Linked DNA regions of Notamacropus eugenii. The protein of the gene in region 2 interacts with the protein of the main gene of each other region in a pairwise test. Links are inferred from orthologs where the notes say so. Each region holds a gene or a part of one and is shown on either strand. Other genes may lie near its edges.

Region 1 (3,744 bases), on a different chromosome or scaffold from region 2:
CCTGTTGTAGTCTACTGGTGCACACTTATCAATCAATAATCATTCACTCAATCTATATTAAGTAAGGGCCCACTAGGGGCCAATGCCTTTTTGTGACCCTCCTTGTGAGCCCTTTTCAGAATGTAGTATTCCATGTTTCTTGGTCCCAGAGTATGACCTGGTGAATATTGTTAAAAACATGGGCTCATATTTCAAGGAAAAATTTGTCCCAATGAAAAGCAATACACTTTTTCTAAAGGCTTCTTCATGCTTAATTCTTAGCCTAGTTCACTGTCTATCCTCAGTGTATTGATGGACCCACTGTTGAGGTTCTCCATCTCAACTGTAGGTGATAATATGGACGACTAGATAATAATTATAGTTAATATTTCTATAGCCCTTAATGTTTACAAGGTGCTTTACATATAGTATTGCCCTTGATCTTCCCAATCTTTTGAGTTAAGTGCTCTTATGGTCTCTTAAGAGATTGGGAAACTGAGGCAGAGGGAGATTAAGTGACTTGCCCAGGGTCACACACCTAGGAAGTGTCTGAGGTTAGATTTCAATAATAACAACCTCTCTGCTTGTTCCTCACTCTCATGTCATCTCAACCCCTTAGAATTCCAAGTTTCCAGCTTCAAGGATACTTCCTACAGATCTTTTCTGCTCCTTCACCCCCTCCAGCTGCTAGTGTTTCTCCAGAAAAATTATCCAGTATTTATTTGATATATATTTTGCATGCACTTTTTAATGTGGTGGCTCCATTCAATTCAATTTACATTTATTAAGCACCTACTATGTGCCAGGAATCTTGCTAAGCTCTGGGGATACAAAAGAGGCTGTCCCCAGAATATAAATTTCACTTTGTAACCCTAGCTTTGCCGACAATCAATAAGCATTTATTAGGCACTTATTTTGTGTACATCCACAGTGCTCGGCACATAGTAGGTCCATGATAAGCGTAATAAATTCAAATGGATAGCTTGATTCTGCCGTACTCATAGTCACTACTTTTAAGACCTTTGCGCGGCTTTATATATTTCCTGGCGCGTTTATTTCTTGGGTGTACAAAGTGTTACTTCTCCCTCAAGCAGACTGGAAGCTCTCTGAGGGTACAGACTCTCATTGTGCTTTGGTCCCGCCCCTAGGAATCCTCGCAAACTGCAGAGAAGAGGCAGCCGGGGGCCTTTCTCGAGTCCCCAGGCCCCGAGGGTGCTGTGGAAGCGTCCTGGGCCGGGGCACGCCCGCCTCTCCCTCGGCCCCGGGGCCGCCCTGGGCCTGCGAACGCGCATTTGTGCGGGTGGCGCTACTCGGCACTCTACGGTATGTGGGCTGGCCCCAAATCCCCATGTGGTCCCGACATCATTGACATGGCGGAATCCTCCCCCCAAAGCTGCTGCTAGTTATTTTAGCGGCGGCGGCTGGAGGAGGAGGAGGAGGAGGAGGAGGAGGAGGAGGAGAAGGAGGAGGAGGAGGAGGAGGAGGAGGAGGAGGAGGAGGGGGAGGAGGAGGGAGGAGCAGCGGAGGCGGCGGCGGCGGCGGCGGCGGCGGCAGGACGGATTTATCGGGCTGCCTGGCTGGAAGGGAGGGAAGGCAGGCCGGCCGGCAGGCAGGCAGGCAGACAGGCAGGCAGGCAGGCAGGCAGGCAGGCAGGCAGGCAGGCAGAGGGCGACCCCGTCTCTTACGCGCCCCCGGCACCCACCCTGCTCCAGCCCTCGGGAAGGTAAGGAGCGGCCGCCGCAGCGGCCGGGAAGGGTGGGCGGGCGGGAGCCAAGGAGCAGCCCCAGAGCTCAGGCTGGCGGCGGGGTCCCGCGCCTGGCCGAGGCGTTGGAGGAGCGGGACTGCCCCGGAAAGCCCCGGAGCCGAGCCCAGTCCCGCTAGTTGGTTCCAGGGAACCCTTGGGGTTTCGGGGGGACGTCCTCCTTTCTGAGCAGGAAAACTTCAGGCTTAAGTGGCGAGGCTGCGCTGGAGGCGGAGAGGGGCTGGGGTGCCCCGAGCCTCCCGCCCTCCCCCTTTCCCACCCCACCCCCACTTTCCGGGCTGGGGGAAGCTGGTGGGGGGGATACACCCGGGAAAGGGGGGCTGGGGATGGAGATGGGCGCCTACCGAAGTGTGAAAAGTGTGGGGGGGGAAGCATTTAGTGCGAAGATTCCTTCCCCTTCCCCCAATCAGTGCTTTGCCAAAAAACATTTTTCCAAGAAAAAGAAAAACCGGCCAATTTTAATTTCTTCTACGTTGTGCCTGCTCCCTGCTCCCTGCTCCAGCGCCCTGGCACCTCTGTCCCCCGCCCCTGGGTCCCCTGTCTCTGAGATCCCCCGCCCCCCATCTCGGTGTTAGGATCGTTGCCTGAAGGGGAGGGGAAAAGAGGGGAGGGGGTGCGGGGGGGGGTGGTGGAGGGAAGAAGGCTGCAGCGGAATCTTCGACGTGTCACTTTCCATATGGTGTGAGGGTTCAGCCCAGACCCATGAAAGAGCGCAAAGTGTTGCTGAAGTTTGGACGACTTTTGTGTGTGCGCCGGGGGGCGGGAGGGGCCCTCGGCGGGGCGGGCTCGGGAGGTGAGGATGCCTCTTTATTTTCTCCCCCTTTCTCTCCCCCCCCCCGTTCCTCCCTTTGCCGGGCTTTGTAGCCGGGGTGGGCTTTGGGTGCCGGGGCGCTGGGGGTTCCATGGCTACGGGCGTGGGAGGAGGGCCTGAGCGCTACAAAGTAGCCGTTTGCGGGACAGGAGGCTACAAAGTAGCAGTTTTTCGAACCTTCGCCGCTCGCCGAGCCCGGGAATCCCGGGAGACTCCTGGGGCGCAGCGGGACTCCCGGGCTCGGGTCTCCGGGTCAGGGCCCTGACATTTACTTACAATGCTCCCCCGCTCCTTCCACCCCTCCTCCCCCCTGGTCCCCCCTCCCCCCGCCAAATCCTTTCCTCCATATCTTCATTTCCCCGCTTTCTGGGTGTCCTCCTTGCGTCCCTGGGCTGCTTTTGGAAAGCCGTCGGCACTGTAGGGGTTGTTCCCAACTTGTAGAGTTGGGAAAGGGGTGAACGGTCAGAGGACCCTCCCGCCTCCCTCCAGCTCCCTTCCTTTCGCCTTCGGCCCCCAGTTGGGGGAGCTCAATCTGGTTGGGGAGGGAGGAGGAAGAGAATCTGTGCCCTGAGGCAGGAGCGCTGAGAGCTGGGGAAGAAGGAGGGAGGGACGCGGAGGCTCCTAGGGGCCCAGAAAGCTGGAGCCTAGGCTCGGGTCGCGGGTCCTGGCTGGGGGCTGCACTCACTCTTCGGCCCGAGGTGTTGGGCCTGGGCCTGGGGCTGGGGGAGAAGCACCGGGCACTGTAGAGAGTGGGATCGGGGGGCTGAGGATGAGGATGGTGCGGGAAGGGTCTGTCACTCCAGTGCAAAAAAATGGGGGGAAAAAGCCGGAGGCGTTTTGTGGCTCCAGCGGAGGCCCGAGCTCTCCGCGTAAACTTTTCCAAAATGTCTGGATACGGGGGGGAGAAGGAGACTGGGGACCGAGCCAAGGCAACTTTTCTACCCAGATGAGTTTGTGCCTCATGGAAAAGGGGTCTGAACCTTGGTTTGCAAGATATCGCCCAGTTGGAACACTTGTTGAGCTGGGCTGGACTCGGGCAGTAGAGATGGGGGGATGGGGATTTTTTCTTTGGAGTAAGACTTTGTCTTAAGCCCTCGCTCTGCCATCCCAGACGAAAAGAAAGAAATGGCATTTTACCAAGACATATTACGGTTTGCGGACTCTTTTAAAAGTTAACCACCCTTCCCCCCCC
Region 2 (3,744 bases):
CTGTAGAATGGCCCTAAATCTACAACATTCTTTATATAACATTATAATAATAGCTAACATTTATTTCTATAGCACTTTCCAGCTTTCCAAGCACTTGATTATAAATAAGAAGGGAACCACATATATTTGTTAGAATGAAGTTCCTTGAGGGCAGGGACAATTTTCTTTTAGTATATATCTCTAGTACTTAGTATAGTGACTGATACATGGTAGTATAATGGTTAGACTTAATTATATCAAATGAACAGACTCTGACTTGGAGTCAAAGAAGATCTAAGTTCAAATCCTGACTCAGTCGCTTAACAAGTCACTCAACCTCTCTCTACCAAAGTTTCTTAATCTATAACATGGAGATAATAGCCATCTACCTCACAGGATCATTGTGAAGATTAAATCACAATATACTTAAAGTGCTTTGCAAACTTTAAAGCATCCTAGTAATGTTCATCATCATTAGTAGTAGCGGTACTTGTTTATTGATTATTGACAGACAGATGTGATTCTTGATTATCCAAGAAAATAGAAGGAACAGAATCTAAAATAGCGAATAATCTAAGTCATTTATATCTGGGGTTAGAATGCCACTTTTGTAACCCCATTTAATAAATACTAGCCACATAATCATGGACAAGTCACTTAACCTTTTAATGTCCAAGGATGGGTTGCCTATCTGTATCAATGGAAGGAAGGTCCAAATCAGGAGCTTCTACACAGATGAACTCAAAACTCTGGACAAATTAGGGCTCCTCCATCTAGTATCCTACTTTGAAGTCTCACTGTAGAATGGGGGTGATCTTGGCTTTAAAAGGAACAAGTTCCAAATGGTCTCACTAAAAATGCAAAGAGTTTGACTTGTCTAAGGACCAATCCAGCTAATATAAAATAGTCTCATACTCACCAGATGATTGGCCAATAGATGATTAATTTTTTTAGCCACAGTAATTCAGTAAGCCATGTACTAAGCAATAGAGAGCTTATGGGCCACATGGTTGGCACATTCCCATAAATAAAATTATGGGATTTCGAAGTATTGCAGTATCTAAATACGGATGAGGATAATACTCTGGAGTTCACAACATTCCAAACAATTTAATGACGCTAAAAGCATGAGTCAAGGAGAAGCTGAAGATGAGAAAACACATTGGAATTCACAAAGAACCAATCTAAACGTGTTAAAGGTCTGGTTTTTGGCTTCCCTGAAGCCAGAAGAATCGGTCATTTAGCATCATGATCTTAAAAGGTCTTCCATTTAGGCTGGGTAGCTAAGGCTGAAGATTTATAGGGAATCTCAGTAGAAACAGAAGTCAATAGAAGAGCTGAAATCTAACAAGCAGCTGCCCAGTTTCCCAACCTAACGCTAAGGCTAAGAGTTAAAAGAAGCAACTGCAGATAAGCAGAATAACTCATTCATTGATAGCAAACTCAGCAGAACAGGTAGGATGGCCTGGGATGTTTGCTGCATTAAAAAAAAGACTGGGTCTTCCATTAAAAATAGTAAAAAATAAAAAAACCCAAGAAAGGCTTTCTGTCTTCTGAGATACCCAAGTCTGCTTCCCAAGATAGTGGCAGGAGCACGTGATCCACGATTCAAGTTAAGAACCTTAAGACTCTTCACAGCCATCCCTTCTGCTTCACAAAATACACTCTCATCACCTGGAGGGAAAGGCAGTGCGCCCCAGCACAAACGGACCGGCTCTGAACAGGCCCTTCAGGCTTGTATGGACGTGGAGACTAAACCACGCTGCTTCTTACAGTCACAACACCCTCCCCCCACAAAACCAAGCCAGGTCCAGCCGCTCCGACTACACTTTCCACCTCAGCTCTTCCACAAAACCTCCACCCTGAGGCTGCGTCGTCCGGTGGCTCCAACTGCCTCCCGCAAAACCTCTCGGGCCTCTCTCACTTCTTCCTTCCACTCGAGACCCTCCTGCGGCCTTTCCTCCTCCTCGGCCCGCCCTTCTAGGCTGCGCTGGGCTGTCCGAGAGCGCTTCCCCAGCCCCGGGTCCCCCCCGCCGCCCCCAAGGGCCTGGCGCCCTTCCACCCGCGTTGGCAACAATCTTGCTCACCTCGGCCCCCGACAGGAAGGGGTGCGAGGACCCTGTGATCGTCAGGTAATTGTCATTTCCTCCGGGAAACTGGAAACCAAAAGAAACCCGCGGGGATGTTAGGGGTGGGGGGGGCCGGGGAGTCAGGCTGGAGCGACGGGTTCTGACTCTGCCCCGACCCCCGCCGCCGCCTCCCCCGCTCCTCTCGCCCGTCGGCCGCTTCTCCGCCCAGGCCCCTTCCTCTGCTCCTCTCCCTCTCGCCTCTTTTCTTTCTTTCTTTCTCTCTCTCTCTCTCTCTCTCTCTCCCTCCCGCCTCCTTCGGGCTCAGGATCCTACCTCCATCTTCAACACAACCGCTACCACCGCTTCAGCTCCCTCATAGCGCCCACCGCCCCCGCCGGAAACGGAACACGCGTCACTTCCGCCGACACTCGCGGCTCCCTCCGAGGATTGGAGGATTCTTTGGCAGAAGCGGTGAGTTTGCAGCAGGGAGGCGACTGAGCGGAAATGAGGAGCTGGGCAGCGCCCCCTTCGGCCGGAGGCCAGAATGCCCGCTGGAGGCTCAGAGGCTTCGAGGGAGGAAGTGTCAAGTTACAGCCACACATGACGACTGAACTGCTCCTGAGGAGAGCACTAGAGACGTGATCTCGGGCTAGAGGGACCGGATGGGGAAGTAGAGATATCGCTAGGTCGCGTGGCTAGAGAGGCCGGAGGTGGGTGGCCAGAGAAGTCGGGAGGACCAGCGGTCGGGACCATGACTTACGCTTATCTCTTCAAGTACATCATCATCGGGGACACAGGTACTCGGCCAGCGGGGCCATCCGCTAAACTGAGACTGGGCTCGCAAGCCCAAGGTGGCACCAGGGGAGGGCGGGGCTCGTTGGGGAGGCGGGGCCACCCGGAGGGGCGCTGTCGGGGGCGGGGCCAGGATGGGGGCGGGGCGGGGCGGGGCTGAAGGAGCTCTGGCCCCTTTGCGACACGGGGGGAGCCGACGCCAGCCACACCTGGTGCCTTCCTCTGGGCTGCCCTGCCCACCTCCTCTCTCGGGAGGATGGACCTGAGTCCCCACGTCCTCTTTCAGGTGTGGGCAAGTCATGTCTCCTTCTGCAGTTTACAGACAAGCGGTTCCAGCCTGTCCACGACCTCACCATAGGTAAGGACTTTGTGCCACCCTAAGGAAAGTGGGTGAGAAGTGTGAAGTTAAAAGTTAGCAGCCATGGGCTTCCACTTTTAAGTAGCCAAAAGTTGTGTTAATAAATGGAGAGAAAATGGCGAAGGCAGATTCGTCTCATGGAAAGAGCATGAATTGGGGGTAAATAGATTTGACTAGCTTAGGAAAGTCATTTCATGTCTCTAGAGCTCAGGGTCTCCCTCCATAAAATCAGAGCAGTAACTAAGAGCCCTTCCAGCTTTGAATTCTGTGAGTCTGTGAAAGAGTGCTGTCAAGTGATTGTCAAGTTGGAGACAATAAAAATAACTGACAAAGAAACCAAAGAGTAGCTGCAGTCTGGGTGACCTCGGGCAGCTTGCTTCTCCGTAAGCTTCAGTATCCTCATCTGTAAAATAAAAGGAGTATCCTTCCAGCTTTAATATGTTGTAACGACAAGAGAAAAATTGATTGGTTGGTTTGTGAGTTGTGAAAGAGCTTAGTGAATTCCCGAGTGGCAATATTTGTCATTTTCAGATGCAATGCCTTTTT
Region 3 (3,744 bases), on a different chromosome or scaffold from region 2:
GAACCTGCCTGCCTCAGTTTCCTCATCTGTAAAATGGAGATAAGAACAGTACCTACCTCCCAGGGCTGTACGGAGGATCAGACCAGACAGTGACTGTAAAATGTTTGGCAAGGCGCCTGGCACATAGTCAGCACCCCATAAATGCCAGCTGTTAGGAAGGACTAAACGCGGGGAAACAACTGCCTTTAAACGAATTTAGTGTCAGCGTTCTAACAAAGAAGTGTTGTTTTCCAGTGAAGGGAAATAGTTTTCAGTCCCAAGTCCCCTGCCTCCTCCTCTTTTGGGGCTAGCTAGGCCTGGGCTGGGCGGGGAAGGAAGGGCAGGAGCTTGAGAGAAGCCGCAGGCTTCAACCACGGCCGGGGGCCTGCAGAGGGAGCGGTGCAAAAGGAACCGGAGGCCGGGGGACGAGGGAGGCCAAAGGCTCCCGCGAGCCGGGAGACCCGGCTCTCAGCCTCGGGTGGCGTCCCGATGAATCTCTAAGACCCGGCACTCCCCCTTCTGGGCTAGCTCCCCTCGAAGTAAAATGAGGCGGGGGGCTAGAGGGCCTTGAACGCCCAGGGTGCTCTGAGATGTATAACTCAGACCCTCCCGGACAGGGAGGACCAAGCAAGCGTGCCTGCGGCCCGAGAGACCACATGGACCGAACTCCAGACTCGATGTCTCGGGGACTCTGCGGCCCCTTTAAGGGCACCCACACTGCTCCGCCCCATTCCACCCCTATGGAGATTCTCGGCTGGGTTCGAAGCACAAAGCTTCCCGCGAAAACTACGTCAGAACGGAGCGCGCGCGCGGGAAGCTCCTCCCCCCCACTTCTTTCTCCCCTTTCCCCTTCCTTTGGTCCTCCGCTGACTCCGGTCTCCCCTCCTCCTTTCCCCTCCCCCTTAGTGGACCGGCGCACTCCCTATATTCCTATTGGTCCGTAGAGTCCGGCGGGCGGTGCGGCTCTTGATTGGTCCGAGTGCAGAGGGCTGAGGGGGGTGTGTCCGGCGCGGCGCGGCGCGCGGCGCGGCCCCGCCCCTCCCCTGGCTGTGTGCGCGAGGCGGCTGTGGCGGCGGCGGCGGCGGCGGTGGCGGCGCGTGGCAGGCCCCGGCCGGCGGGCGGGAGGAAGCGGTGGCGGCGGCGGCGGCTGCGACGGCCAGGGCCTTAGCCTCGGCCTCGGCCCCGGCCTGAGGGAGAGAGGGATCGCGGGTGGTGGCGGCTACGAGCGGGAGGCCCTGGCCATGACCGACTTCAAGCTGGGCATCGTGCGGCTCGGCCGAGTGGCCGGGAAGGTGAGCGGCCCGGGGCTGGGAGGGCGAACGGAGCGGGCGGAGGCCGCGGTCGCCATGAGGGCCCGCAGAGAGACGGAGGCCTCTCACGGGGGGCCCCGAGCCGGGGAAGTCCAGCAGCCGAGGCCGCGCTCCAGAGCTCCGAGGCTGCTGATCCCCGCGGGGCCCGCCCACCCACGGCCCGGGAGTGGCCGCCGCCAGGGTGTTCCTCCCTCCCCCCGGTACGGAGCCGCTTGTGTATCCTGGCCAGGCCTCAGCCCCCCGACTTCCAGCGAGGCCCCAGGGCGGCGGGGATGCCCCCCCCACCCCCGGCCACCCGACCCTGGCAGCCCGAGTCCTCCAGCCTCACCGGGGTGTCAGGTGTCAGGCTGTCTGCTCCACTCCCCCCACCCCCGGGCGCTCCGGCTCTTGGCGTGAGCGCTGAGGTCTGTGGTCCAGCGGAGGGCCAGTCCGGGGCGGCTGAAGTTTCGAGGAACGTCCAGGTTCCCGGGCTCCGTGGGATACAGCAGCATAAGTCTGGAGGGGTGTTTAGGTGTGAAGGGTCTGGGGGCGCCCCGGCTCTGGTGCTGCTTGCTTCTTGGGGTAGGTGCGGTCTAACTCCCGCGATCCCGAATGCTTCTGGGGTGCCTGGCTCGCACAAGCCTCCTTGAAGGCTTGTTTTGTTGAAAGAAAGGAAAAAGGTGTTGTGTGCCAGGTTCCAGGGTTTCCTGGCTGGTTCTGTGGAATGATCCCCGTGACCTTTCGCTGCCCGAGCGAAGCCCACTAGGAGGATAAGTGCATTTTTTTTCTACCTGTGCTAAGGTCACTGGATTGAACTAAGGAGTTTGCCTGGGGAAGCCAGTGAGCAACTAGTTACACTGTTGTGTCACACTGGCCTAGAACAGTAGGGGGAGCCTGGGGAATTAGTGCCATGGAGCAGCACCTGAGCCAGATGTAGGTGGCACTTTACCATCATCATCTTCTTCATAGCTAGCATTTCTAGAGTACGTGCTTTAGGGTGAGTAAAATGTCATGTAAAAACAGGCCTCCCCTCACCTCTTATCTACTCTTCTTGCTTTCTCCTTGTTTTCTTCACCTGATTTCTCACTCTGTTTTGTTCCTCTTCCTTTTACATATTTTGTGTATGGATTAAACCACCAGTGGTACCTGTGAACATTTTTGCTCCCTGGTGCCACCAGCACGTTCTAGTTGTTGACTGCCTGGTCTGGTGAAAAAGTCTGGTCCAGGAAAGCCTTGCTGGTGGCTTCCTGGTTGGTTCTCTTGTGGCTAGCTCTTGATAGATGAGAGAGGCAAGTAGAGTAGGGGACAGGCCCCTTAAGCATCGGCGGCAATTGGGAGTAAAGCCATTTCATTTACATGAAGGCTGGAGGTCTGTACACATGAAGAAATTTAATGGGAAGTTTATTTGTCTTGATAAATTTTTCTACTTAAGTTAATCTTTTTGATGCAGAAGAGGAAGATTCTGATAACTATCATTCCAAGACATTTATATTTAGTCTGATGACAGTGCTGATTTTTGGCCTGTGCTATGCAAAACATTTAGTACCGTAGTGAATTCCTTTACTTACTATTATTACCTCCCCTTGTTATTTACTCATCTAATTGAGGGCAGGTGAGTCAAGGTGATTAAAATAACATTTAGTTACCATCTAACTTCAGAGTTTAAATGTGATTCATAACTTCCTATTGCAATTATTTCACTGTTGGTCTTAACCTAGCTTTGTTCATGATAAATGTAATTCTTTACAATGTCTGGTTAATTTTCAGACAAAGTACACGCTGATAGATGAACAAGACATCCCACTGGTGGAGAGTTACTCTTTTGAGGTGAGAATGGTCTGTTCCTGGGGTTGGGTTGTGGTTGGACATTAAGAACCTAGAGAAATTATGAATACATTTTAATATTCTTTCTTCCTGCTCGTACTCTGGGAATGAGATTCCTCTAGATGAATAACTAACGCTAGTTCTGAATCACTTCAAGACCAGAGATGACTAAGTCAGCTAATTTTGATCAATTTTGGTAGTCCCTGACAAGTAGAACTATACTATATCCTATATTCAAATTAGAATTTGTATCAGAAACTTTGGTTTCTTCTTTCATGGCCATGTTTTTAGGAGCAGATGATTTGGGTCCAGTTTTTGTTATCCCCTGTACCACTGACGTCCATGAGGACCAGATGGTTTTTTTCCCAGAATACTAGGGATTAAGCTAACATTTTCAATGGTTTTATTTCTTTTTTCCACCAGTTTGATTTTGAAGTGTTGTTGCAAGATGGATGATTTTAAGTATTTTCCTTGTCCTATCCCAGGCCCGAATGGAAGTAGATGCTGATGGAAATGGTGCTAAAATTTTTGCTTATGCTTTTGACAAAAATCGAGGAAGGGGATCTGGACGTTTACTTCATGAGTTGTTGTGGTGGGTATTGTGTAGAGATCAATATTTCCGTCTTTTATTTGGGGTGTGGCTAGAGTTTGT

The links.
Region 1: the proteins of TOX4 (region 2) and FNDC3B interact in binary tests that used the Homo sapiens proteins (3 or more experiments, as listed by UniProt). The two-hybrid records come from large-scale screens. The link is inferred for Notamacropus eugenii from reciprocal best matches to the Homo sapiens genes TOX4 and FNDC3B.
Region 3: the proteins of TOX4 (region 2) and ZMYND19 interact in binary tests that used the Homo sapiens proteins (3 or more experiments, as listed by UniProt). The two-hybrid records come from large-scale screens. The link is inferred for Notamacropus eugenii from reciprocal best matches to the Homo sapiens genes TOX4 and ZMYND19.

Annotation. Positions count from the first base shown.
Region 1 is NC_092877.1:352,137,734-352,141,477, reverse strand, and holds the start of FNDC3B (fibronectin type III domain-containing protein 3B), read left to right. Parts: upstream 1-1,512; 5' UTR 1,513-1,702; intron 1,703-2,387; exon of another isoform or gene 2,388-2,534; intron 2,535-3,744. UniProt on the Homo sapiens protein: May be a positive regulator of adipogenesis.
Region 2 is NC_092878.1:12,453,328-12,457,071, forward strand, and holds the start of TOX4 (TOX high mobility group box family member 4), read right to left. Parts: upstream 2,670-3,744; 5' UTR 2,388-2,669; coding exon 2,382-2,387; intron 2,136-2,381; coding exon 2,067-2,135; intron 1-2,066. Other genes in the region: RAB2B (ras-related protein Rab-2B), read left to right, coding at 2,800-2,845, 3,127-3,198. UniProt on the Homo sapiens protein: Transcription factor that modulates cell fate reprogramming from the somatic state to the pluripotent and neuronal fate. In liver, controls the expression of hormone-regulated gluconeogenic genes such as G6PC1 and PCK1.
Region 3 is NC_092872.1:494,372,025-494,375,768, forward strand, and holds the start of ZMYND19 (zinc finger MYND domain-containing protein 19), read left to right. Parts: upstream 1-1,034; 5' UTR 1,035-1,220; coding exon 1,221-1,271; intron 1,272-3,035; coding exon 3,036-3,095; intron 3,096-3,577; coding exon 3,578-3,684; intron 3,685-3,744. UniProt on the Homo sapiens protein: May be involved as a regulatory molecule in GPR24/MCH-R1 signaling.